2 linked regions of the Diceros bicornis minor genome follow. The protein of the gene in region 1 purifies or fractionates together with the protein of each later gene. This does not show direct contact. Links are inferred from orthologs where the notes say so. Each region holds a gene or a part of one and is shown on either strand. Other genes may lie near its edges. The genes, in order: SAE1 and SUMO3.

Region 1 (12,703 bases):
GGAATGAAGCAGTACACAGATCTTTGTTCTGTGGTTTTCCACCCTGACTGCATTTTAGAATCATCTGGGGAGCATTTTGTAAAAATCCCAATGTCTCAGCTCCACCCCAGACCAATTAATCAGAGTCTCTGAAGGTGGGACCTGGGCATTATATTCACTGAAAATCTCCCCAGATAATTCTAATGTGCAGGTGGGATTGAGAACCACTGCCTTGGTTAATGGTGAGCAGTCACCTGGGTGGAGGTAATTATGTAATCCTTAAACCCAGGAGCCTGGTCTACTGAATAACTGCTCCCCACCACTTTTAAGTTACAAAGTCTCACTTTTGGAAGCTGTTCTGATTAGCTGTTGCTGGAAAAAAAAAAACTGCCTCATGGGTATATATCCAAGAGAATTGAATACAGGGTCTCAAAGGGATATTTATACACTTACGTTCATAGCAGCATTATTCACAATAGTCAAAAAATGGAAGCAAATCATTTTTGAGTTGGCTGAGTGGAATATATTCAGCCTTAAAAAGGAAGGAAATTCTGACACTTGCTACACGTGGATGAACCTCGTCGACGTTATACTAAGTGAAATACACCAGTCACAAAAAGACAAATTCTGTATGATTTCACTTATATGAGGTATCTAGAATAGTCAAACTCATAGAAACAGAAATAGAATAGTGGTTGCCAGGGGCTGGGTGGAGGGGGAAATGAAGAGTTGTTTAACCGGTAAAGAGTTTCAGTTTTGCAAGATGAAAAAGTTCTGGAGATTGTTTGCACCACAATGTAAATATAATTAACACTACTATTAACAATACACTTAGAAATGGGTATGGTGGTACATTTTACGTTATGTATATTTTACCACAATTTAAAAAAAAAACTGCCCTGAAATTTAGTGGCTTGAAGCAGCAACAGTCATTTTATTATCTTTCACAGTATCTGTGGATCAGGAATTCAGGAAGGCTTGGCTGGCTGGTTCTGGAAGAGGACTTTTCATGTGGTTGTAGACCATGAGGCCAGAACTAGAATAGTGGATGGCCAGAGAGCTAGGGGCTGGGCAGAGATCTCTCTGTCTTCTTGTAGTTTCAAGGCTTCTCCATATGGTTTCTTCTCATGGGCTGGTTTGGGCTTCCTTTCAACATGGCAGCCTCAAGGCAATGGGATCGCTTATCTGGCAGCTCAAGGCTCAAACTCAAGTGTTCCCATGAACAGGGTTGAAGCGGCCTCCCCTTTCCTGACAACTCTGAAGTTAAGCAGTGTCTCTTCTGCCACATTCTATTGGTCGAGCAGTCACCAAAGCCCGTCCAGTTTCGAGGGAAGGGAACATAGATGCCCCCACCCCGTCAATGGGAGTAGTGGCAAAGGGATGTTGCGAGAAGAGCATGTAGGATGGGAGATATTGTTGTAGCCGTCTTTGCAAAATGCAATTGGCCACAGTGATGATCAAGAGAACTTAGTGAATCCCCTTGTTGCCATAATTATTTCCTTAGTTGGCATCATTTAACCCTGGGAATATTTGGAGGTAAATATAGAAATGTTCAAGTGACTCAGACTTCTGGAATTAATGTTGAAGAAATGTATGCATATTTGGCTTTTTATACACTGGAAATGTTTAGGAGAATCTGGCCTAGTAGAGTTTCCTGGTGAGATTTGTGGGTCTCAAAAAAAATTCTCAAAACTTTTTCCTGCATTGATTTAAGGACTAATGACTAACTCTAAAATGGTTTAGCCAAAAAACATGTGTGTGTGTGTGATAGAGAGAGAGAGAGAGAGAGAGAAAGAATAAATGTGCCAAAACTTCAAGTGAATGAATCTGGATAAAGGATACTTGAATATTAATTGGACTGTTTCTTTCTGTAAGCTTGAAATTCTTTAAAATAAAAAATTTTGACAAAATAAAATAAAATAAAAATGACCAAATAGTGTCGATTATTCTCATTCTGTCCCTGAACTTCAACCCATCTAGACCCTCATCGCATCCTCTGGAGTAAGGAGTAAGGTCGTGACTGGAGGCTGGATTGAGGGTCAGGAAAGCAGCTAGGAAAGGGCCTTTCCTAGGGGGCCAAGCAATATTTGGAAGAAACATTACAAATTTGAAGAGGCATGAGCTTCTCAAACATGCTCATTTCAAAGAGAGCCTCAAATCATTTTAGAATGAGCAAAGTGATTTTAGAGCAAAGTGATGCTCATTCTGGAAAGGTTGACTGTCATTTTTAGTGGTCAAGATCCTGAACTTTTCATGTTCTCTATTTGACTCAAAGTACAATGGTCGCATGTTGTAATTAACAAATAGATTTCCAGACTTTAAAAAAAAAGTCTATACACCTCAAACTGCTACAATGTAATATGTCAGTTATATCTCAATAAAACAAAAACATTCATGATCTGGTTTCTCAATTGATGCCTTTGTCCCCTTCAGTCACCTGACTTCTCTTCACTCCCCACATCTCTGCTTGTTCATTACTTCCTCTGAGAGATCTTCCCTGACCCCACAGTACAAAATACTCCCCTCCAAGCATCTCCTAGCACAGGGCTGAGCACAGAGGAGGTCCTCGGGGAAATTTGAATGAATGAGTATGTCAGAGAGATTAAATCCAGAAAGATTGAGAGTGTCCGCAGAGAAAGGGAAAGAGAGTCAGAGAGAGAAAGAGAGTTGGGGTCAGGCAAAGAGGGAGAGAGAGAGAGGAGAGTGTGAGGAGAGAGAGTTGGTGGGGGTGGGGTGGGGAGAATACTCAGGTTATCCAACGCTGTGTAACAAGCGATCCCAAAACTTAGTGGCATAAATCAACAGCAATCATTTATTTTGCTTGCAGATCAGCACTCTGGGCAGGGCTTGGCAAGAATGGCTTGTCTCTCGTCCCTCTGGGGTGACTTGACAGTCTGCCAGAGGATCCACTTCCAAGATGGCTCATTCACATGGCTGGCAAGTTGGTGCTGGCTGTTGGCTGCAGCTGTTGGCCTGGCTGAGGGTCAGGAGCTTGGATTCCTCTCCATGTGGACCTCTCCCTGTGCTGTTTTGGCTTCTGCTAGCTTGGAGGCTGGGTTAAGAGCAAGTGTTCCAAGAGATTGACAGTGGAAGCTGCCCATTTCCCTTTTTTTTTTAACCGCTTTACTGTCATATTCACATACCATGCAATTCACCCATTTAGAGTGTACAATTCAGTGGGTTTTGGTATATTATTACTTTTTGTGTGCGTGTGTGTGTGTGTGTGTGAGGAAGATCAGCCCTGAGCTAACATCTGTTGCCAATCCTCCTCTTTTTGCCGAGGAAGACCGGCCCTGGGCTAACATCCTGCCCATCTTCCTCCACTTTATATGAGACGCTGCCACAGCATGGCTTGACAAGCGGTGCGTCGGTATGCACCCGGGATCCGAACCCCAGGCCGCTGCAGCAGAGCGCATGCACTTAACTGCTACACCATGGGGCCAGCCCCTTGGTATACTATTAATTTTTTAAAATTGTGGTAAAAAATATGTAACATAAAATCCACCATTTTAACCATTTATAAATGTACAATTCAGTGGCATTAAGTACATTCACAATTTTATGCAACCATCGCCACTACCTATTTCTTTTTTCATCACCTTTTCACTCAGGGTTCTTTTTTTTTTTTTTTTTTTTTGAGGAAGACCAGCCCTGAGCTAACATTCATGCCAATCCTCCTCCTTTTTTTTTTTTTTCTGAGGAAGACTGGCCCTGAGCTAACATCTATTGCCAATCCTCCTCCCTTTTTTCCCCCCTTTTTCTCCCCAAAGCCCCAGTAGATAGTTGTACGTCATAGTTGCACATTCTTCTAGTTGCTGTATGTGGGACGCAGCCTCAGCATGGCCAGACAAGCGGTGTGTCAGTGCGCACCCAGGATCCGAACCCTGGCCGCCAGCAGATCGTGCACACTTAACCGCTAAGCCATGGGGCCAGCCCCTCAGGGTTCCTTCACTTAGCATGTTTTCAAGGTTCATCCATGTTGTCGTGTGTTATCAGTGCTCCATTCTTTTTCATGGCCAAATAATATTCCCTCATATGGATATTCGGCATTTTGTTTATCCATTCATCTGTTGATGGACACTTGAGTTGTTCCTCCTTTGGCTATTGTGAATAATGCTGCAATGAAGACTGGCATACAAGTATCTGTTTGAGTCCCTGCTTTCAATTCCTCTGGGTATATAGCTAAGAGTGGAATTGCTGGGTCATATGGTATTTCTATGTCTAGCTTTTTGGAGGGGAAGCTGCCTGTTTCTTAAGGCCTGGACCCAGGAATTGGCCCAGTATACACTTCTTTTTTTTTTTTTTTTTTGGCTGAGAAAGATTCACTCTGAGCTAACATCTGTTGCCAATCTTCCTCTCTTTTTTTTTTCTCCCCAAAGCCCCAGTGCATAGAGTATATTCTAGTTATAAGTCCTCCTAGTTCTTCTATGTGAGCCACTGCCACAGCATGGCTACTGACAGATGGGTGGTGTGGTTCCACTCCCAGAAACTGAACTTGGGCCACCAAAAGCAGAAGGCACTGAACTTTAACTGCTAGACCATCAGGGCTGGCTCCCAGCATTCACTTCTATCATATTCTATTGATCAAGCAGTCACAGAACACAGATTCAAGGATAGAGGACATAGATTCCCACCCCCCCCCAATATCGATGAAGAATATCAAAAATGTCATTTTATGGATTTATGGACATGCTTTAAATCTCCCACAGAGTTTCTGGGGGTCAGGGAATGAGGGCCAAGGAGAGACCCTCAGGGAGGCAGAATCAGACAGAGAGGATGAACTGAGCCGCGAGGTCTTGGCACGGGCAGCCATCCTCTCTGCCTGCTTTATTAGTTTTAACCTTTATTTACTCTGCAAAGCTCAGCTGATCATCTACATTCACACAATATCCTTTCCTGACTCCTACACTATCCTTTCTTGACTCCGACACTGTCATAGCTCTCTCTTCTTTTCCTTCACAGCGCTTCGCAAAGTTTCTATTTATATTTATGCCATTATTTTGTCTCTCCCACTGGACTGTAACTGCCTCTAAAGCAGGAGTGTGTCGATTTTTATCATTATTGTACCCTCAGGGCCTGGCACAAAGTCAAACATGTAGTAGGGACGTGGTCAATATTTGCTGAGTAGTTGAATTAGTGAATAATCCTTTGACTGATGAAGTACTGTCTGTCTCCTCTACTAGACTGTCAGCCCCACACAAGGCAAGTTCATATGTCTTTATTCACCTTATTTTCACAGGGCATGGTGCATAATCAATGCGGTAACCAGCCTCTAAGATGGTCCCCAAATGATTCTTTTTTTTTTTGCCTTGTATTCACATTCCTGTATCGTCGTCTCCCACAATGAATAGAGGTGACCCGTGTGTGACCAATAGGATATTGCAGTGAGTGACTTCCAAGGCTGAGTCATCAAAGGCATTGATGCTTTCTTTTTTTTTTTTTGTGAGGAAGATCAGCTCTGAGCTAACATCCATGCCAATCCTCCTCTTTTTTATTTCTTTTTTTTTTCTTTTTGCTGAGGAAGATTGGCGCTGGGCTAACATCTGTGCTCATCTTCCTCCACTTTATATGGGACGCCACCACAGCATGGCCTGACAAGCGATGCATCGGTGTGCGCCTGGGATCTGAACCCAGGCTGCCAGCAGCAGAGCGCACACACTTAACCGCTATGCCACGGGGCTGGCCCTGGCATTGCTGCTTTCAGCTTGCTCTTGTGGATCACTCACTCTGGGGGATGCCAGCTGCCATGTCATGAGGACAACTCCAGCAGCCGGGTGGATAGGCCCACGTGGAGAGAAACTGAGGTCCTCTGCCATCAGCCAACAGCAACTTGCCAGCCATGTGGGTGAGCCACCTTGGAAGGGGATCTTCCACCCACGCCATCAAATGACTGCAGCCTCATGAGAAACCTTGAGCCAGAATTGCCCGGCCAAAGTGCTCCTGAATTCCTCACCCACAGAAACTATAAGAAATAATAAGTGTTTATTGTTGCATTGTCCCTAAATTTTTACATAATTTGCTCTGTATCAATAACCAGTAGAGTAGGCATTGGCCAATTTTTTTGAATGATACTGTGGTCTTGGATGAATGGCTACGTCTTTCTGAGTCCCAGAGTTGTAATCTGTAAAAGCGGAGGAACTATCCACCTCTGAGGTTCACAGAGTACGTACCTTACCCAGCAAGATCAGAGCACATAGTAGGAGCTTAACATACCACCAGCAGTGTAACCCAGTGAAGCATGTGGGCCACACAGCCCGGGTTTGAATCCTAGCTTGACTACTTCTAAGATACAGGACTTAGTTGAGGCTACTAATACTTAACTCTGCTGGACCTCAGAATCCTTAGCTGTGAAATGGGAATATTAAAGAATTTATCTAATTTTGTAAGATTAGAGAAATAATCCATGTGAAGCCCATTTCAGCTCCATGAGAGGGCAGCTATTTTTTTTCTTTTTCACTGCTCTATCCTTAGCACAGAGATCAATTGTTGACACGTGACAAGCGTCAATAAGTATTGTTGAATGAATAATAAAAAGGCACCTTGCCTAAGGAAAATACATATTAGCTATCACTAGCCTACATGGCCGTACCTGATTCCCTACCTGATTCATCTGAGATTTGATCTCTTACCACTTGCCACCCTCACACTCTGCTCCAGCCACCCTGCCCTCTCCACAGTTTCTCCACTATGCTAGCACACTCCAGCTTCAGGGCCTTTGCACCTGCTGTTCCCCCTACCCAGTGTGGAAACTAATAAAAGAAACCTTAACTAATTAGGAGTCAGGAAGGCCTGTAGGGGGAGCTCTCAACCCTATCACACATCCTCAATTACACCAAACAGGAAGACACAGAGCCTTGCATCTTGGACAGGAAGTAAAACTACCTTACTACTAAAGGAAGATTTCTTTCCCTACCGGGCAACAGCCCAGCCAATGAGAAATGCTGCAGCCCAGCCAATGAGAAACGCCACAGCTCAGCCAATGAGAAGCCTGTTGCCACCCTGAACTGTTACTTTTCCCTCATGGACTTTCTTTTAAAACAGCCCCTCCCTACTGCCCTTTTTTTTTTTTTTTTTTTTTAATGAGGAAGATCAGCCCTGAGCTAACATCTGTGCTAATCCTCCTCTTTTTTGCTGAGGAAGACTGGCTCTGAGCTAACATCTATTGCCAATACTCCTCCTTTTTTTCCCCCAAAGCCCCAGTAGATAGTTGTATGTCATAGTTGCACATCATTCTAGTTGCTGCATGTGGGACACAGCCCCAGCATGGCCAGAGACGCGGTGCGTCAGTGTGCGGCCGGGATCTGAACCCGGGCCACCAGTAGCGGAGTGTGTGCACCTAACTGCTAAGCCACGGGGCTGGCCCCCTACTCCCGGTTTTTGTCTACAAAGGCAGCTCCCCTCTGTTGTTGAATTTGCCAATGGTTCCCATAGCATGCACATCTGAAGTTGCAATTCTTTTTACTATTCTTTAATAAACTCCTTTTGAGGATTTTCAAGTCAACTCCAGAAATGTTCCATCTCTCAGTTATCCACATAGCTTGTTCCTTCAGATCTCTGCTCCATGTCACCTTCTCTGACAGACCTTCCCTCACTCTGTAGTCCCATATCCTGCTTTATTTTTCTCCAAAGCATTTATCACAGCCTGATTTATATTTATTTTTCTTTGGGCCCTCCTCAATAGCTTGTAGGCTCCATGAGGGCAGGATTTGTCTATTTTATTTGCCAGCCTATTTCACAGCAGCCCCAATGCGGGGATTTCAGCAGGCGCTCCACAGATATTTGCCGAATTAATAGCCTCATAAATAACTATTTGGGTATCTTTGTGGGGCCATAAGCCGCACCATTTTTCTAGCCAGGATTGGCCGGAGCCGCCATCACGTGACTGTCAGTCCCCGGCCCGCCATTGAGGCTGGGGAGGCCCACGTGATCCCAGGTTCCAGGAGCGGCGCCGGGCGGCGGCAGAGGTACTGCGCAGGCGCGGCCTCTGGCGCAGGCGCAGACGCGGCGCGGGCGCGCGGCCGGCGGCGGTTGGTGGCGCGTGGGGCCGGCGGACGGTTGATGAGAGCAGAGCTCGCGCTCAGGCAGCGAGAGCCGGCGCCATGGTGGAGAAGGAGGAGGCCGGCGGCGGCATCAGCGAGGAAGAGGCGGCGCAGTATGACCGGCAGATCCGTCTGTGGGGATTGGAGGCCCAGAAACGGTCAGGGCCGCTGCGCCTGGTGGGGCGGAGGGTCCGGAGGGGGCGTCTGGCCTGAGGCGTTGGCGGCCCTCCGGGAGCGGGAGAGTCTAATTCGAGGGGAGGAGGCGGGAATTACGTCCCCGGGGATGGTAGCCCGCCTGAGAGGGCTGGAGGGGTTGGTTTGGTATGTTTCTGGAAGGTATGGGAAGCGGGGGCGCCCCAGGGTGATGAGAGGGCGGTTCTGAGTGATTGGAGGCCTCTGGCAGTGGGCGTGGGGGCGTCCTGAGGGATCAGGAGGATTCAGACTCAGGGACTCGGACCCCCGGAAGGGTCGATGGTGGGGTCGAGGTCGGGGCGGTGTGCTTAGGGCATAGGAGAGGCCGGGAATGCAGGGAAAGGGTGAAGGCGGGGGGGCGTAGTTCATTCATTCATAGATGGCGGGCGTCTGTTCTCTGCTGGATGCTCGGGAGACCGGCGAACCGAACAGACGCGAGCTTGCATTCTTGTGGCTTCCGGGGGGTGGATCGATCTGGAAGAATGAGGGTTTTGGAGCAAGTTATTTCGAGTGTGAGTCTGAAGAGGTTGCCCGTGTCTAGGTTTGGGGGTGTGTCCAGGCAGGACAGGTCACTAAAGGTTGGGCGTACCTTGGGTATTGAGGAGTCGTTATCGGAGGGAATATCTTTGAAAGAGATGATTGCTTCCATCAGATATGCATGGAGTACCTGCCATGAGCTCTGTTCTAGGCCCGGAGCGCGTATCAGTGAGCTAAACAGACTGCTTCCCCACGTGGAGCTTACATTCTAGTGTTGGAGACACAGATAAATAATATAATGTTAGGTAATTGCCGTGCCAGGAAGAAAAATAAAGCAGGATCAGAGGATCAGTGAAGGATGGCGAAGTAGGAGAGCTGTTTTGATGGGGTGGCCAGGGAAGGCCTGTGAAGAGGTAGCATTGACCCTCAGACCTGGATGGAAGCAGGAGCCAGGTGGCCATTTGGAAGAACCTTCCCAGCATAAAGAACAGCAAGTGTAAGATCCTGGAGGCCAGAGCACGCTTGGCAGACTAGAGAACGAGTGGCTGAATTGAGGAGTACTTTTTTTTTTCCTAAGTGTGCCAGGAAACCCATTGGAGAGTTTTGGGGCGGAGAAGTAACACGATCTGATTTGTGTTGTAAAAGGCTCACTCTTGTTTGGAGGATAGATTGAAGTGGGCAGAAGTGGAAATAAGGATTTACCGTTTAGGAGACTGCTGCAAGAATCCACTTGAGGCATGAATAGTGGTGGCTTGGGACCCTAGAGAAGGGGTCAAATCTGTATTCTGGATATATTTTGAAGGTGGAGGGGGCAGGTTTTGCTGAGGGATTCAGTGTGTGGGGTATGAGAGGCAGAACTCAAGGGTGACTCCAAGGTTTTTGGCCCAAGGGATGGAAAGATGGAATTGCCATTTACTGAGATGGGAAAAAACTGTAGGGAAGAATCAGGAGTTCTCTTTTGGGCTTACGTTTTAGATGTTTATTATATATCTAAGTAGAAGTATGTGAGTGAGTTCAGAGATGAAGGCTGGGTGATGGGGAGGGTCTGTGATGTGAATGAGTACAGAGTATAGAATTAATTGATCTAAGGGTCGGGGAGGCAGGCAGGTTAATTTAGTTTGAGGGGTGGAAGCTTCTAGATTTTTTTGGTGAGAGAGAGAGAGTGTGTGTGTGTGGTGGTGGCTGGGGGGAGGTGGGGGTTACTGCAGGCTCATTTCAGGTGTGTGGGGTCTTCTGCGATTGAGGGGGGAGTTGTCATCCTGAGGCATTAGCGAGCATTGGTCGAGGGTTGAAGGCACCTGAAATGAAAAATTAGAAATTAAATGATGAGAATGGCCCTGAAGACATAGGTGGGGTTGGTTGATTTTAGGAACTACAGTTTGAAGGACTGGAGTGTTAAGAGGTCCTGAAGGGTGGGGGAGGGGATCCTAAGTACTAGAAGGGTTAACCCTAGGGATTGGGGGCAGCAGTTTTGTTTGAAGTAGGGTGAAGTAAAGTTGGTGAGGATTAAACTGGAATGTATCGAGGGAGCTGTCAGCAGGTTAGGAGTGATTTCTCTCTGGAGCACTAAGTAAGGCACGGGGGCTTCTGAGGAGGAGATGACCTAAGGGGCAAATCAAAGTCAGGATGTGGAATTCTTGGGAGATGGGAGTTATTCTGAGGGAGTGGAGACTGTGGAGTGGAGACTGAGGGAGTGCTGAACTCGGTGGAGAACCTGAAAAAGATTGGCTGAGAGTCCTGGGAGGGAAGGAAGTGGTTATCTATAATTTGGAATCCGTATTTGTGGACAGTCTTAGAGTTTATTAAAGTGCTGTCATGTCCATTTTTCAGCTGGTGTCATAGCAGCTCTTTGGAGTTGGAAGGGCAGTGATTTCCTCCCCTCTACAGATAGGAAGGAGGCTCCACAAAGCAAATTGACTTGCCTCTAAGGGAACTCGAGGTGGCCAGGAGAACTCTGGGGACTGGGGTTCCTTGGTGAAGTAGAAGGCGGCCTGGGAATCAGAGGCTGCATTCTGGCTACAGTTTTGCCTCTGACTGTGATGTTGGACCAAGGTTGTCAGAGAACTGGAAGAGAGAGTAATAATAATAAAAAGGGCCTTCAGGAGAACTCATACAGTCTAGAGGTTAAAAATGGGCTGTGGGCCGGCCCCATGGCTTAGCGGTTAATTAAGTGTGTGCGCTCCACTGCTGGCAGCCCGGGTTCGGATCCCGGGCGCGCACCGACACACCGCTTCTCCGGCCATGCTGGGGCCGCGTCCCACATACAGCAACTAGAAGGATGTGCAACTGTGATATGCAGCTATCTACTGGGGCTTTGGGGAAAAAAAAAAGGAGGATTGGAGATAGATGTTAGCTCAGAGCCGGTCTTCCTCAGCAAAAAGAGGAGGATTAGCACTCATGTTAGCTCAGGGCTGATCTTCCTCACACACACACAAAAAAAGGGCTGTATTTCTCGTACAGTGTTTTTTTACATTTTTAAAAATCAGTTGCCAGTGTTTAAAAATCCAGAGAATTGGCCAAATTTGGGACAGTTTGAGTATCAGAAAGAATAAAATTAACTTCATTTAACCGCTACGCCATGGGGCTGGCCCTCCATAGAATTTCTAATTTATGTCTTTTGAAAAATAGAAAAGTCAGACATCCCCGCGTTGGTTGGAGCTAAGTAGCGGCTGCGTCTTCCTCTTTTACATCTTACTTTGCCGTTGTCTCCATCAGTTCAGCTTCCCTCGTTGACGTAATTGCCCGACCCCTGTAAGCATGTGAGTTTGCATCTCTTGCTCTGGTGCGTAGCCCATTTTATGGATGAAGGTCAAGGAAGGGAGCCAACTCGCCCAAGGTCTCACACCAAGTAACTAGAAGAAGTAGGACTTGAATCTAAGTCACTCGCTTCAGGTTCACTGCTGTGTCCATGACGGCTCATTTTCCTCAATAGGGACTCATTCCTTCTGTCAGATTAACATAGAGGCCAGCGTCGAAGCCGGCAGCTGTGTGTGTTCTCAGAATGTGTGCCTCAGCGGTTTTTGCACTGCCTTTCACAGCAAAGGCATGTCTATTTTTTCTTCTTCCACTCCACAGTAATTTATCCCCTATCTAGGAGTGAGGAAGGGAGGGTGACTGGAAAGAGGGCAGTAGATTATAAGCTCCCTGAGGGCAAGCACTTTATCAGTGTCTGGAAATGAAGGTAAGGGTTTGACTGGCCTCTGTTAAGTTTCCAGCGCTTGCGGGTTGATAGACATTCAGGTATTTGTTGAGTGAATGAAATGATTGTACATTGCGAAGACCTGCAGGACACCTGGGTTGCTCTGCTAACTAGCCGTCTGACCTTGGGGCAGTCACGCAGTTTCTTGGCCTTTGGTTCCCCATCTGCAAAAAGGAGGGCTGAGTGTGACTGCATCTCTCAGGGCTCTTTCAACTCTGAAATTCTGACTTTACAAAGAAGGGACTGCAAGAGCTTCCCTGTTTGCAAACATGTTACCCAGCAACTGCTGCTGTTCCAGAGGACTTCTCTAGACACGCATTTGCCGTAAGAGTGACCGAGCATGTACCGTGTGTAGAGGCCAGTCCTGGTTGTTCATATAAGGACAGTTTATTGTGGTTGATAGTGGTTAATGGTTGAGTTTGTTTGTTTTGTGGTGAGGAAGGTTGGCCCTGAGCTAACATGCACCCATCTTCCTCTATTTTGTATCGGGTATGCTGCCGCAGCATGGTTTGATGAGCGGTGTGTAGGTCGGCGCCCGGGATCTGAACCTGCAAACCCCTGGCCACCGAAGCGGAGTGGACGAACTTAACCGCTATGCCACCGGGCCAACGCCTAATGGTTGAGTTTGAATCTCCGCTCCAGAACTTCTTAGTTATTCAGCCTTGGATACATATCTTAACTTCTCTGCGCTTCCGTTTTCTCCATTTGTCAAGTGGAGAGAATAGAATTGACTTTATTAGACTGCTGGGAAGTGAATGAGATAATGCACAAAGAGTGTCTGTGCACAGAAAGCATTCAGTAAATTAGAGCTACAATT
Region 2 (12,112 bases), on another chromosome or scaffold:
TTTTTACCAGTCCTCTGGTTACAAAGATGGGGATTCTCTGGGAGCTTTAACCACGTCCACTGCCCCACCGTGTCATATGACTGGGGTTGCCCCAGGGCCTAAGCAGCAAGAGGGAAAAATAAGGGATTTTCTTACACTTTCTGGACTACAGGGTCCCTTTACCCTGGTTTCTGCAGCTAGAAAGATGGATTTTCTTCTTGAGGTTTTGGGTCCATTGTGCTGCCACAGTGCAGCTCCACCAGTGGGATCTCTTTGGGAGAGGTTTGGGTGAGCAAAAAACCAGAAAACAAAACAAACACCTGGGATTTAACCCACACACTTTAGCTTGCAGGGTCTCTTTCTCTCTGTCCAAAGAGAGAGGATTTCTCTTGGAGTTTTTGCCAGTGTACATGTTGTGCAATTCCATACTGGGTCACCCTCAGGTCAAAGTTGGGAGATCAAAGAGGAAGAATGCTTGTAAAGTCACCCCGTCAAGTCTTTCTTTAAGTTTTAGGTCCCCTCTCTGATTTGCCTGCTATTATTAACCTTCAGAGTCCTCAAACAGTTGCTTTCTCTGTCTTGTCCACATCAGAAGTCTCTCTTCATTTTTGCAAGATATTTTGCTGGGTATAGAAATCTGAGTTTAAAGCCTTTCAAGGTGTCATTCCAGTGTCCTCATTGTCTTCTGGCTTGCACAGCATTTGCATCAGGTGTGCTGTGATTCTCATCACTGTTCCTCTGTACGTATGTGTCTTTTTTCCTTCTATCTACTTCAAGATGTTTTCTTTACCTTTAGTTTTTGTCAGTTCGAAGATGATGTGTCTTGGTGTACCTTTTTATTATATATGTATATTTTAAAATTCTGGTTGGGGTTTTCTGAATTTGGATTTGTGGTGTGGTATCTTTCATTATTTTTGGCAAATTCTTAGCCATTATTTTTTCAAATATTTCTTCTGCACTATTCTCTCTTCTTCTGTTACTCCAATTACACATATGTTAGACCATTTGAAATTATTCCAGGGCTTTTGTTTGCTCTGTTCTGTCCTGCCCTCACCCCAATGTTTTCCTCTTTGTTTTGAGTTTGGGTTATTTCTCTGGCTTTAGCTTGAAGTTCACTGGTTCTTTCCTTGTCTGTGTTGAGCCTACTCACGAGCTTGTGGAAGGCATTCTTCATCTCTCTTACTCTGTTTTTTATTTCTAGCATTTCCACTGGACTCTTTCTCATAGTCTCCATCTCTGTGCTGAAATCCCCCACCTTTTCATGGTATTTATCTTTTCCACTAGAGCCTTAACATAAATCCTCTCCGACAATCCCAGCATCTGAGTCATATCTGAATCTTGTTCTATTGATTTGCATGTCTTTTTTTTTTTTTTTTTGCAGGGAAAGAGTTACCCCGAGCTAACACCTGTTGCCAATCTTCCTCTTTTTTTTTTTTTTCTCCTCAAAGCCCCAGTACATGGTTGTATATTCTAGTTGTAGGTCATTCTAGTTCTATGTGAGCTGCCACCACAGCACGGCAACTGACAGACAGGTGGTGTGGTTCTGCGACCAGGGAGTGAACCTGGGCTGCCAAACTGGCAAGCACCTAACTTTTAACCACTAGGCCACCAGGGCTGGCTCTGATTTTCGTGTCTTGATTGTGGGGTTTTTTCCTTCTTTTTTGTGTGTTTTGTAATTGTTTACTGAAAGCCAGATATTGTCTGTAGGAAATAGAGACTGAGGTTAATAGTATTTATATCTGGAAATGGACATTCCTCTTCTTCTGCTTGGCTGCCATTGTAGGGGTTGAGTCAAGCAGGCTAGGAGTTGACTGGATCTGGGTTTTGTGGTTGCTGTGGTTACCTTTAGTGTCCACTCACCTCAAATTCCTCTAGCAGCACCTTGTGCTGAGGGTGGAGGATGGTTTGCTGGAGGGTTTTTCTTAATGTTCCTGCTCCACCCTCAACTCTAGGCCTTCTCTGTGCACCTGCACCTTGGGGAGGGTCTCTGTCCAGGCTCTTGCCCCTCACTGTGATGGACTGCTCCAGGCTGTTCCTTGGTGCTGGCTATCCTGGAATGGGGTGTGGCAAGTAGAACTCTCCGTTGCACTGGTCCAGGCCCACATTCAGGCAAGCCTATGTCCTTGGAACCTGGGGGGGGAGCTTAATCAGTGATCCTGTTTCCTCTTCAGAGACAGAAGACCTCCCAAAGGGCTGCACTCAGGATGTATTCTGACAATCAGCACAGTGAAATGACACCTTTGAAGGCTTTAAACGCTGACTTCTATATCCAGCAAAATATCTTTTGAAAATGAAGGAGAGACTTCTGGGGTGAACAAGACAGGTAAGCAACTATCTGAGGACTCTGAAAAGTTAATAATAGCAGGCAGATTAGAGATGGAACCCAAAACTTAGAGGAAGACAAGAAAGCTTTGACGCCAGCTCTCTGATTTTTATACAGCAAAATTTTCTCTGTATTTTATACAATAGTTTTATTGGGTATAGAACTGTATGTAGGCATTTTCCTTCAGCACGTTGTGGATGTTATTCCATTGTCGCTTGGCTTCCATGTTTCTGTTGCAAAGTCAGATGTCTTTTTGTTTCTCCTTTCAATATCTGGCTGATATCCTCCTTGTCTTTGGTCTTCAGCAGGCTAACTGTCATATACCCAGGTGTGGCTGTCTTTGTATTTATTCTGATTTGGGTTAGCAGTTTCTTTGTAGTATGTGGTTTATTATCTTTGGTGAATTTTGAAAAATTCTCTTTCATTCTCTCTTCAAATATGGCTTCTGGCCTATTCTTTTCTCTCCTTCTGAGTCTCCATTTTACAAATATGTTAGATATTTCCACCATATTGTATATTGCTTTTAGGCCTTTTACTGTATTTTCCATACTTTTTCTCTCTCTGCTTCTGTCTAAATATTTTCTTCTGACCTATCTTCCAGTTCATAATCATCTCTTCCACTGTGTCTAATCTGTTGTTAAACCCATCTACTGAATTCATAATTTCAGAAATTGTATTTTTGTTCTCAAATTTCCATTTCTTTTTTTTTATAGATTCTAATTTTCTGCTGAAAATTTCCATCTTATTATCTATTTTCCTTAACATATTAATTATTTAAAATAATTAAAGTTACTTTAAAGTCTGTGTCCGATAATGCCAATACTCTGTCTCCTGTGGGGTTATTACTATTTCTTGGTTTTGGATCATTTGTCTCCTGGTTTTCTTTGCAAGCTTTTATTTAATTCTGGATATTGTGTATGAAGATATTTTAGTTAACTTGAGGCCCTAGATGATGCTATTTTCCTCCAGAGATTTTCTTTGCTTCAGGCTGGCAATAGGAAGGAGAACAGGTCAGCATAGCCCAATCTGGGAGTGAGCTGTTTGGAAGCTGGGTTTCAGTCTTTGTGAGGAGTGACCTATTTACACTTCAGCCTTACTCCTCTATTGTAGGTCCCAGTGCTCCATTTGAAGGTCCAGGTTATTTATCATAGCCTATCTTGTAGTAGGCCATGCTCAATTATTGTCTCCCCATCCTATGAGACTCAAAAGCTCTGCTCAGTGTCTCAACTTCTTGTCCACTGCATATATTATGGACTGCATTGTGTCTCTCTTCCTCCCTCTGTCCCACACTCCCTCCCTCCCTCTTCCTCTCCCTATATCCATGCACACACAGAGGAAAGGCCATGTGATGATACAGAGAGGTGGCAGCCCTCTACAAGCCAAGGGGAGAGCCCTCACCAGAAATCAACCCTGTTGGCACCTTGATCTTGGACTTCTAGCCTCCAGAACTGTGAGAAAATAAATGTTGTTTAAGCCATCCAGTCTGTGGTATTTTGTTATGGCAGCCCCAGCTGACTAATATAGCATACTAATCACCAAATGCCTCAGAGGGAAAAACCACTTCCCTTCTTTCTGGGATCTTCACCCCTCAAAGTCTTCTCTGTTTTAGTAGCTACCTGATATCTTCAAACAGATTTTCAAAATATTTTATACAGATTTTCTAGTTGTTCAAAACCACAATAGTTTAACAATTTGCTTTAAAAAATTCATCAACATCATATGAGCATCTTTTCCTGTTATCAACTACTCTTTTTTTTACACATTCTTTAAATAGTGATACAGCCTTTCATTATATGGACCATAGTTTCACTAATTTCTTATTGTAACACATTTAGATATTGTGTTTCATCAATTCTAAGTTACATATTTTTCACACTTCAATAGGTCTGAAACCAGGATGTGTCTTCCATCCGTAACCCATCATAGTTTAATGTGTATGTGACATACACAATATTATGCTTTATAATTGATGGTGTCTTCCAGTTGATGATGGGCATGAACACTGCCCATGTGAAGTCACACCAGAGCCAACAATCTTGGGGGATGGTTCTGATCCCCATTGTCCATCTCTGTCCTGGATGGGGCTTGTTCCTGCAGGCTCCCCTCTCCCAGAAGCACAGTTAGAGCTGGCCATTCTACCTAGGGATTCTCTGACAGAGGTGGGTCATAGTGCAGATTCCAGGATAAAAAGGACCTTGGACCTGGCTGAGATAGGAGGTTGGCTCTGACCACACCTTTCATGGGGAGACTTTGTTAACCTGTGACATGGCAGCCCCATTTTGGGGAGGCCCCTCCCCTCTCCTAAATGGTGCCTCTAGCCAAGAAAGTGAATTTTTAAGAGTCAAAGATGGTTTGTGAAATTAAGGTCCATGAAAACATGGCTCCATAGCTTTGTGATGTTAACAGGAAATGAGTGGAATCCAGCTGGCTGGGCCTTACTCAGACAGGATGGAAACGGTTCAGTCTCTTAGGGTCAAATCCAGACCCTGCTATTTCCTAGCTGCATGACTCTGTGCAGTCCACCTTCCCCCCAAACCTTCGTTTCCTAATTGGCAAAATAGGGATCATGAGGGTCCTTGCACCAGAGCGTTGTGAGGCTTGAGTGGGATGATGCAAGCTTGGCACCAGGCTTGGCACACCCTGAGTGTGAGATAAATTTCAGCTGTCACTGGTCCATTTCATCTGAAGGCATTAGGATTACAGACAGGGAGGATAGGAAGAGCCAGGGGCTTCTAAGGATGCATGCCTCAAGTAGCAAAAGGATGTCCTGACCAAGGCCCCCATTCTCCAGCACATTCCCCATGGCCGCCTGAGCACCTGTCTAGGCAGTGTTTCACCCTGGGTTTGCCCCGACAGTCAGTAGAGCACACTGGTCAAGCTCACTGACCAACTGCCCATGCTCAAATCCCAGTCATACTGCTTACCAACGCTGGGATCTCAGGCATGTAATCTAACCTCTGAGTGCCTCAAGTTCCTCACTTGTAGAATCGGTTATTGTGAGGACTAGGTGCGGAGTCCTGGCATCTGGTGCAGTGTGCACTCCAGAAACGTTAGCAAAACGGTCACAGGAGGGCCTCCTGCATCTGTCCCACCATCTTCCCCAAGGGTTCAGCTTCCACTAGCCAGGTTCGGAAGGCCAAACGGGACTAGACAAGGGGAGAAAAGGGAGCTGCAGAGAGTGAAGCCTGGCTAAGCTCAGAGTGAGAAGTGGACAGAAAGACATTCCACATCTCTGGTCCCTGTCTTAGGTCTCTGTCCCCCTGGAGCTCTGGGTGAAGGAGGGCAGACTGGAGTTTGTGTGGGCTTGTGAAATGAACAAATGCGATGTGTCCTTAGTGGATGGAGCTGACAGGTGGGTCAGCCTTGGAGCGCTTTCTTCCTTCACCCCACAGTTCTTCATGACCTTTGGCTCCTGCTCCTCCATGAAGGTGAATGGAGCCTTTTCGAGTAGTGGGGTGCCTCTCAAGGCACCACTCACTCACCCAGGTCCCCTTTGGCCACTGGAGGTGGTTCACCAGACTGGCCTTATTTTCCTTTTTCGCTCTGAGAAACGCACTCTCTACACAGGAAATAAATGGGTGCGCCTGGGCTGGCTGGCTGAGCTAAAGTGGGCGAGGGACCAGGTCGGTTGGCGAGGAACCTAAGGCACTGAGGAGGCGGACAGGCTGTCCTCAGGCCCCAAGATAATGCGCCAGTCCTGGTCCCTGACCCCACAACAACCCCGGCCAAATGGCCTGGACTCTGAGCGCTCCCCAGGCCCCTCGCTGCCCAGACCTCCCCCCAGGCCCCTGTGCAACCCCCTGGGGACCTCGGTGTCCTGTATGCCACCCTGGGCCCTCGGTGCTCCAGCGCCCCCCGGGTCCTAGTGCGCCCCCGATGCCCTGTGAGCCCCCCGGTGTCCCGCGCCCCCACAGCTCTGAGAGCGCGTCTGGTGCTGTACAGGCATCCCCACCCCCGACTCCAAGCCCTCCGCGCCCCAGAGTGTCAGGACCGCCAGGTTCACGCCGGGCCCCGCCCCGTGACGCATTTCCAACGGTCAGGAACCTCGGCCCGGCCCGGCGCGCGCCCGACGCCCCGGGGGGCGCGCATCGTGCACGCGCAACGCCACGTGACCCCCTCGCCGACCAACCCGCACGCCGAGATTTGGGGGGCAAAGCGCGGTCCCGCGAGCAGTTGCGGCGGGAGAGCGGCGGGCCGAGAGCGTGACTCGCCCGCTCCGGCGCTGCCTGCTTCCCCCTCGCCGCCTCCCGCCGCCGCCCGCAGCCATGTCCGAGGAGAAGCCCAAGGTAAGGGCCAGCGGGCGCGTGCCGGTCCCGGTCCTCGGCCCCCCGCCCGCGCCGCCACCGCCCGCGCACCAGGCACCCTCCGCGGCCGGGTGCGACCTCCGGGATCAGAGCGGCGCCGGCGAGGCCTCCCCGCGCCCCGCGCCCCCCTCGGCTCCCCTCCCCCCCGCGCCTCTCGGCTCCCCTCCCCCCGCTCTGTGGCGCTCCGCCCCCGCCCCGGCTCCGCCCCCGACAGCCCAGGCTCCGCCCCGCCCTACGCCCAGGCCCCGCCCCCGCCCAGGCTCCGCCCCGACTGCCACGCCCTCCGAGCTCCGCCCCCGTGATTGCCCGGGCCCCGCCCCCGGCTAGGCCCCGCCCCGTCCCGGGAGCCCCGCCCGGGATGGAATTTGGACGTGGTCTGGGGCGGGCGGGGACTTTCCTCGCAGGGAACCTCCCCTTCGCCGAGATCCCCCGCCACTACGGCGCTCTCCTAGCCGGGACCCGCCGACTCCGGGAGCCTTGCGGCGTCTGGGCCCACACTCCCCAGGAGCCCTTGCTCGGTTTCACGTCCACGCCCACCCGCGCTCGAACCCCGGGGTGCGGGGATCTCGCACGCTGCCAACCCCCTTCGCGGAGAAACGCTCCCTCGTCTTCCGTCGTTACCCCGCTCCGGGGCCTTCCAGCCTTGGCTTTACCCCCCAATCACGACTTCAACGGGAAGCCCACGTCCCCACTTTCTCTCCAGGGCCGCCCCTCCTCAGGACCCCCTCCCTCGCGGAGAGCCTCCCCCACTACAGCTCCTCCCGTCGGGACCGCGGTCCGCGGGTCCGGCCCTGGACCTGTCTGCTGAGGCGTCTCCAGGGGGCACCCTCCCCAGCCCTCATTGCGGAGCGAGAGGGCGCCGAGAGGGCGCACCTGGGGACAGGCGGCGAGGCCACCTGACCTGTCCGTGCACACTGCCAACCTTTACCGCAGCCCGTCCCGCCGCGCCCTCGGGTGTGCACCCGCCATTCTGCTCTTCCCCACGCTGTCCTCAGGTGTGCGCCCACCCCCCCCATCACTGTCCTCAGGTGTGCACCCACCCCTTCCCATCGCTGTCCTCAGGTGTGCACCCACCCCCCCATCGCTGTCCTCAGGTGCGCCCCCCTCCCCGTCGCTGTCCTCCGGTGTGCACCTGCCCCTCCTCATCTCTTCCTGGGGATTTTTGCCCACCCCTCTCCGTGGTGCCCTCTGGTGTGCCTCCACCTGTCCCCATTTGGCTCTCCTCACTCCGATGCCTTGGCTGTCAGTTCTTGGGGAGGTCCACGGTTGTAACTGCAAAAGCAAGTTCCTGAAGCTTTTTGTCTGCACCGTTGGGGTCTGTTGTTTTGACCAAATGGAAGATCTGCTGTTGAGTTGAATGCTTTGCACATAGGCTTCCTCTGATACCAGCCTGGTGCTGGAGATTGCACCCCCTCCACAGCTGAGACTGCGGCCTGGCGTGTCCCCAGTGCACGCAGGTGGCAGAGCTGGGGTTGGGGTGGACCTGCACGGAGCCCGTGGTCTGGAGGGAGAGTGGAAGCCTGCACTCTGCCCGCTGTGTTTTGAGAAAAGGTCACACCCCAGGAAAGCCTCCAGATGCAGATGGAGCCGCCATGGCTTTTTACATTTTGGTGCCAACTCAGCTTTTTATACCACTCCTCCAGGCCAAAGGTAAATGCTTGCCTTTGTTTTTCTGGGTGGCTTCCTCTTACTGAAGTTTAAATACAATGAAATACATATGATACTCATTTCTTCAGTGTGTGTAAACTTAACTCTCCCATGTCTTCAACATCCATGGTCCAATTCAGTTGAATAAACTTGTTTGAACTGCTTCCAAAACGACTAAATGGTTGTGCCTCACTCACACCTCATTCTTGCCTACCGTGCCCTCGGTGCCTGCTGGCTCTCGTGCTGCTCTCTCCTCTGGGCCTGGAGAGGAGGGGTAGGAGACTCACTCCCAAGCTGTCCTGGGGGTGGAAAGAAAACCTTGTGGGTCGATTCGGAAAACAGTTTCTGCCCCCTCTGGATAGGCGGGGGATTGACGGTAGTGAATTGTGGTCATTGTTTTCAGGGTTTCTTTTATTTCTTTTACTCTTTGTTTATTAGGAATTCACCAGGGGTCTCGGACAGGCTGCTCATTCTTGGTTTCCCTCTGTTAGAGGGGAGAGGTGCCTGGCGCCTTCTCCGCCTGCACCAGTCTCCCCAGGAAGCCAGGGCACCCAGTGGCCCTGTGAGGCTCTCCTGCTGCCTTCCGCTGCCTGGTCTGCAGCCCCTGCCCTGTGGTTCTGTTTGTTCTGTGTTCTGGCCCCTGCATCTGTTTGTTTTGAACACATCCATATCTTTTCTTTAAAAAAGCAAATGTGTCCTCTATCTAAATGCAAAAGAATGAAGTTGGATCCTTCTTAACACCACATACAAAAATTAACTCAAAATGGATCAAGGACCTAAATGTAAGACCCAAAACAGTAATATTCCTAAGAGAAAACAGGACAAAAGCTGTACGACATGGGATTTGGCAATGATTTCTTAGATATGACACCAGAGGCAACAACAAAAATAGACAAATTGGACTTCATGAAAATTTAAAAATTTTGTGCGTCAAAAGACACTATGAACAGAATCAAAAGGCAGCCACAGAAGGGGAGAAGATATTTGCAAATCGCACATCTGATAAGGGGTTAATATTCAGAATATATAGAGAACTCCTACAACTTAATGACAACAATTAAAAAAAACAAGCTAACTAATTCAAAAATGGGCAGAGGACTTGAACAGACCTTTTTACAGAGAAGACATAGAAATGGCCAAAGGAACATGAAAAGATGCTCAAAACGTCAGTAATCATTAGAGAAGCGCAATTCGCAACTACAGTGAGACACCGCCTCACACCTACTGGGATGGCTACTATCAAAAAAATAGAAAACAATAAATGTTGATGGGGGTGTGGAACCCTTGTGCACGGCTGGTTGGAATGTGAAATGGTGCAGCTGCTGTGGAAAACAGTATGGAGGGTCCTCAAAAAATTAAAAATAGAACTACCATACAACCCTGCAATTCCACTTCTGGATATTTATCCAAAAGAATTGGAAGCAGAGTCTCAAAGAGATATTTGTACACCCATGTTCACCGCAGCACTATTCACAAAGCCAAAAGGTGGAAGCAACCCAAGTGCCCATTGATGCGTAAGTGGATAAACAAAATGTGGTCTATCCATACAATGGAATATTATTCAGCTTTAAAAAGGAGTGAAATTCTGACATATGCTACAACATGGATGAATCTTGAGGATGTTATGCTGAGTAAAGTAAGCCAGTCACAAAAAAGACAAATACTGTATAATCTGCTTATATGAGCTTCCTAGAATAGTCAAAATCCTAGAGACAGAAAGGAGAATGATGAGTGCCAGGGGCTGGGGGAGGGGGATGAGGAGTTAATGTTTAATGGGGGCAGCGTTTCGGTTTTACGGGATGGAAAGAGTTCTGGAGATGGATGATGATGATGGTTGTATGACATTCTGAATGTATTTAATACCACTGAAAATGGTTAAAATGATAAATTTTATGTTATTTGTATTGTAACATAGTAAAAAAAATTGAAAAACAATCATATCTCTAAATGCAGTGTGGTACCCTGGATTGGATCCTGGAACAGAAAAAGGACGTTAGTGGAAAAAGTAGTGAAATACCAAAACAGCTTGGCGTTTCGTTGCTGGTGATGTGCCCATGTTGGTTTCTTAGGTGTGACAGTGTACCATGGGTGTGTGCTATGTTAACATAGGGGTAACTGGGCGAGGGGTATGCAGGAGCTCTCTCCATCTCTGTTTTGCAACTCTTCTGTAAATGTAAAATTATTTCAAAATGAAGTCTTTATTTGAAAAAAAAAGCATATGCATCCTTAGTCCAAGGGCTGGGGACCCCAGCTCCATCCTGGCCTCGGGTCATTGAGTGCCCCTTTTTGTATCGCCTCCTTCTCTCCGTACTAGAGTCCGAGGTTCAGAGAGGGAGGGCCGAGCTGGCCCCCAGCTGCGGTGGGTGTAAGGGCCACCCCAGGATGTCTGCCTTCAGCCCCAGTGCTTGAGTCTCACCCTCCTGGGGCCACTTCTCGGCCACTTGGAGCTCCGGACAGAGCACACCCACTTGGGATCTCCGGGAGCCGAAGAACTGATGTGGCCTTGAGGGAATCCTGGTCCCCTCTGTGAGGCTATTCACAGGGGCTCAGGGAGGGGAGCCAGGGCCCTGCCCCGCCCGGGGAGAAAAGAGGCGTGGACACGGAGGGAGCATGGAATCCTCCCAGAGCTTGGCCCTCAGTCCTACGGGTGGGCAGCTCCTCCAGCCACAGGACAGATGACCGCATGACAGATGACACACAGGGAAGAGATGGGAGTGTCAGCAGGAGGACATGCAAAAAACACTGCGATTTCCATCAAAACTGTACTTTCAGATGGACTGGGGTCAGCTTCGTGGTTTTGTTCAAAAATAAACGACTCCTATTCCCACGCGGTGCCAGGTACATGAGGTGCGCTGGCCCGTGGAGCAGGACGCTGGGCGTCCCTCTTGGGTCACAGGCCTCACTCTCAGCCTGAGCCGCCCTGCTGGCCCCGATCCTGGACTCGGACTTCCTGCATCACTTCAGAATGTGTGTCCCAGTTTCGTGATTGTTCAGGAGCTTTGAGTGTATTGTGAGTTTTGTGAAGATAAAATGCCCTGAATTACTCCCAAGGAGGTCGGACTGGCCGAAACTAGAAACTGCATGAGGGACGGGGCCCCTCGCGCCTGTCGTGGGCAGCGAGGAGCTGAAAGCTCCGTGCACACTGGACCTCCCAGCACGACTACACCTGCCATGGTTTCCTCTGTCGTAAAGGGGTTTTTTTTTGTTTTATTTTACCAGTCCTAAATAAGTATAGATAACCTGTGAATATGTGTTTTTACTAGTTTCATAAGAGTAACCTTATAACAAAGATGGATTTCTCTGTTTTTTCCTAGATTTATTAAGCAGATTTTTTCTTTGAATTAACAATCTGTGAAAACTCTGTAGATTTGCATTGCATTTCCTTATACGTGGATGCTTAACAAATGGAAATTAAAATAAATTCTGTATAAGAATAAAAACCACATGAGTGACTCTGGATTGCTAGAGAATTTTAAGAATTAGGTTGGTTTTAATGACTTAAAAAAAAAACCCAGCAATTACCTAAGACTTGCCCTTTAAAATGGTGGCTATTTTGAGACGCGGTGTTGAGGCCCAGTTTCACATCTCTTTTGCAGGAGGGAGTGAAGACAGAGAACGACCACATCAACCTGAAGGTGGCTGGGCAGGACGGCTCTGTGGTCCAGTTCAAAATCAAGAGACACACCCCGCTGAGCAAGCTGATGAAGGCCTACTGCGAGAGGCAGGTGCGCCTGGGCCGGAGAGCAGCCACCCAGAGACTGAGCGCCTTTGCCTTTAAAAATGAGCAGTGACTCATTTCACTTAAATTAGCAGTGACTCAACATCACCAGATGTCCAAGCTGTTCAGGGTTCCATCATC

What was found.
Region 2: the proteins of SAE1 (region 1) and SUMO3 purify together in Homo sapiens (affinity purification with mass spectrometry; 3 studies listed by BioGRID and IntAct, with this or other methods). This does not show direct contact. The link is inferred for Diceros bicornis minor from reciprocal best matches to the Homo sapiens genes SAE1 and SUMO3.

What each region holds. Positions count from the first base shown.
Region 1 is NC_080773.1:22,594,598-22,607,300, forward strand, and holds the start of SAE1 (SUMO-activating enzyme subunit 1), read left to right. Parts: upstream 1-8,008; 5' UTR 8,009-8,078; coding exon 8,079-8,176; intron 8,177-12,703. UniProt on the Homo sapiens protein: The heterodimer acts as an E1 ligase for SUMO1, SUMO2, SUMO3, and probably SUMO4. It mediates ATP-dependent activation of SUMO proteins followed by formation of a thioester bond between a SUMO protein and a conserved active site cysteine residue on UBA2/SAE2.
Region 2 is NC_080766.1:44,196,106-44,208,217, reverse strand, and holds the start of SUMO3 (small ubiquitin-related modifier 3), read left to right. Parts: upstream 1-6,481; 5' UTR 6,482-6,567; coding exon 6,568-6,588; intron 6,589-11,849; coding exon 11,850-11,978; intron 11,979-12,112. UniProt on the Homo sapiens protein: Ubiquitin-like protein which can be covalently attached to target lysines either as a monomer or as a lysine-linked polymer. Does not seem to be involved in protein degradation and may function as an antagonist of ubiquitin in the degradation process.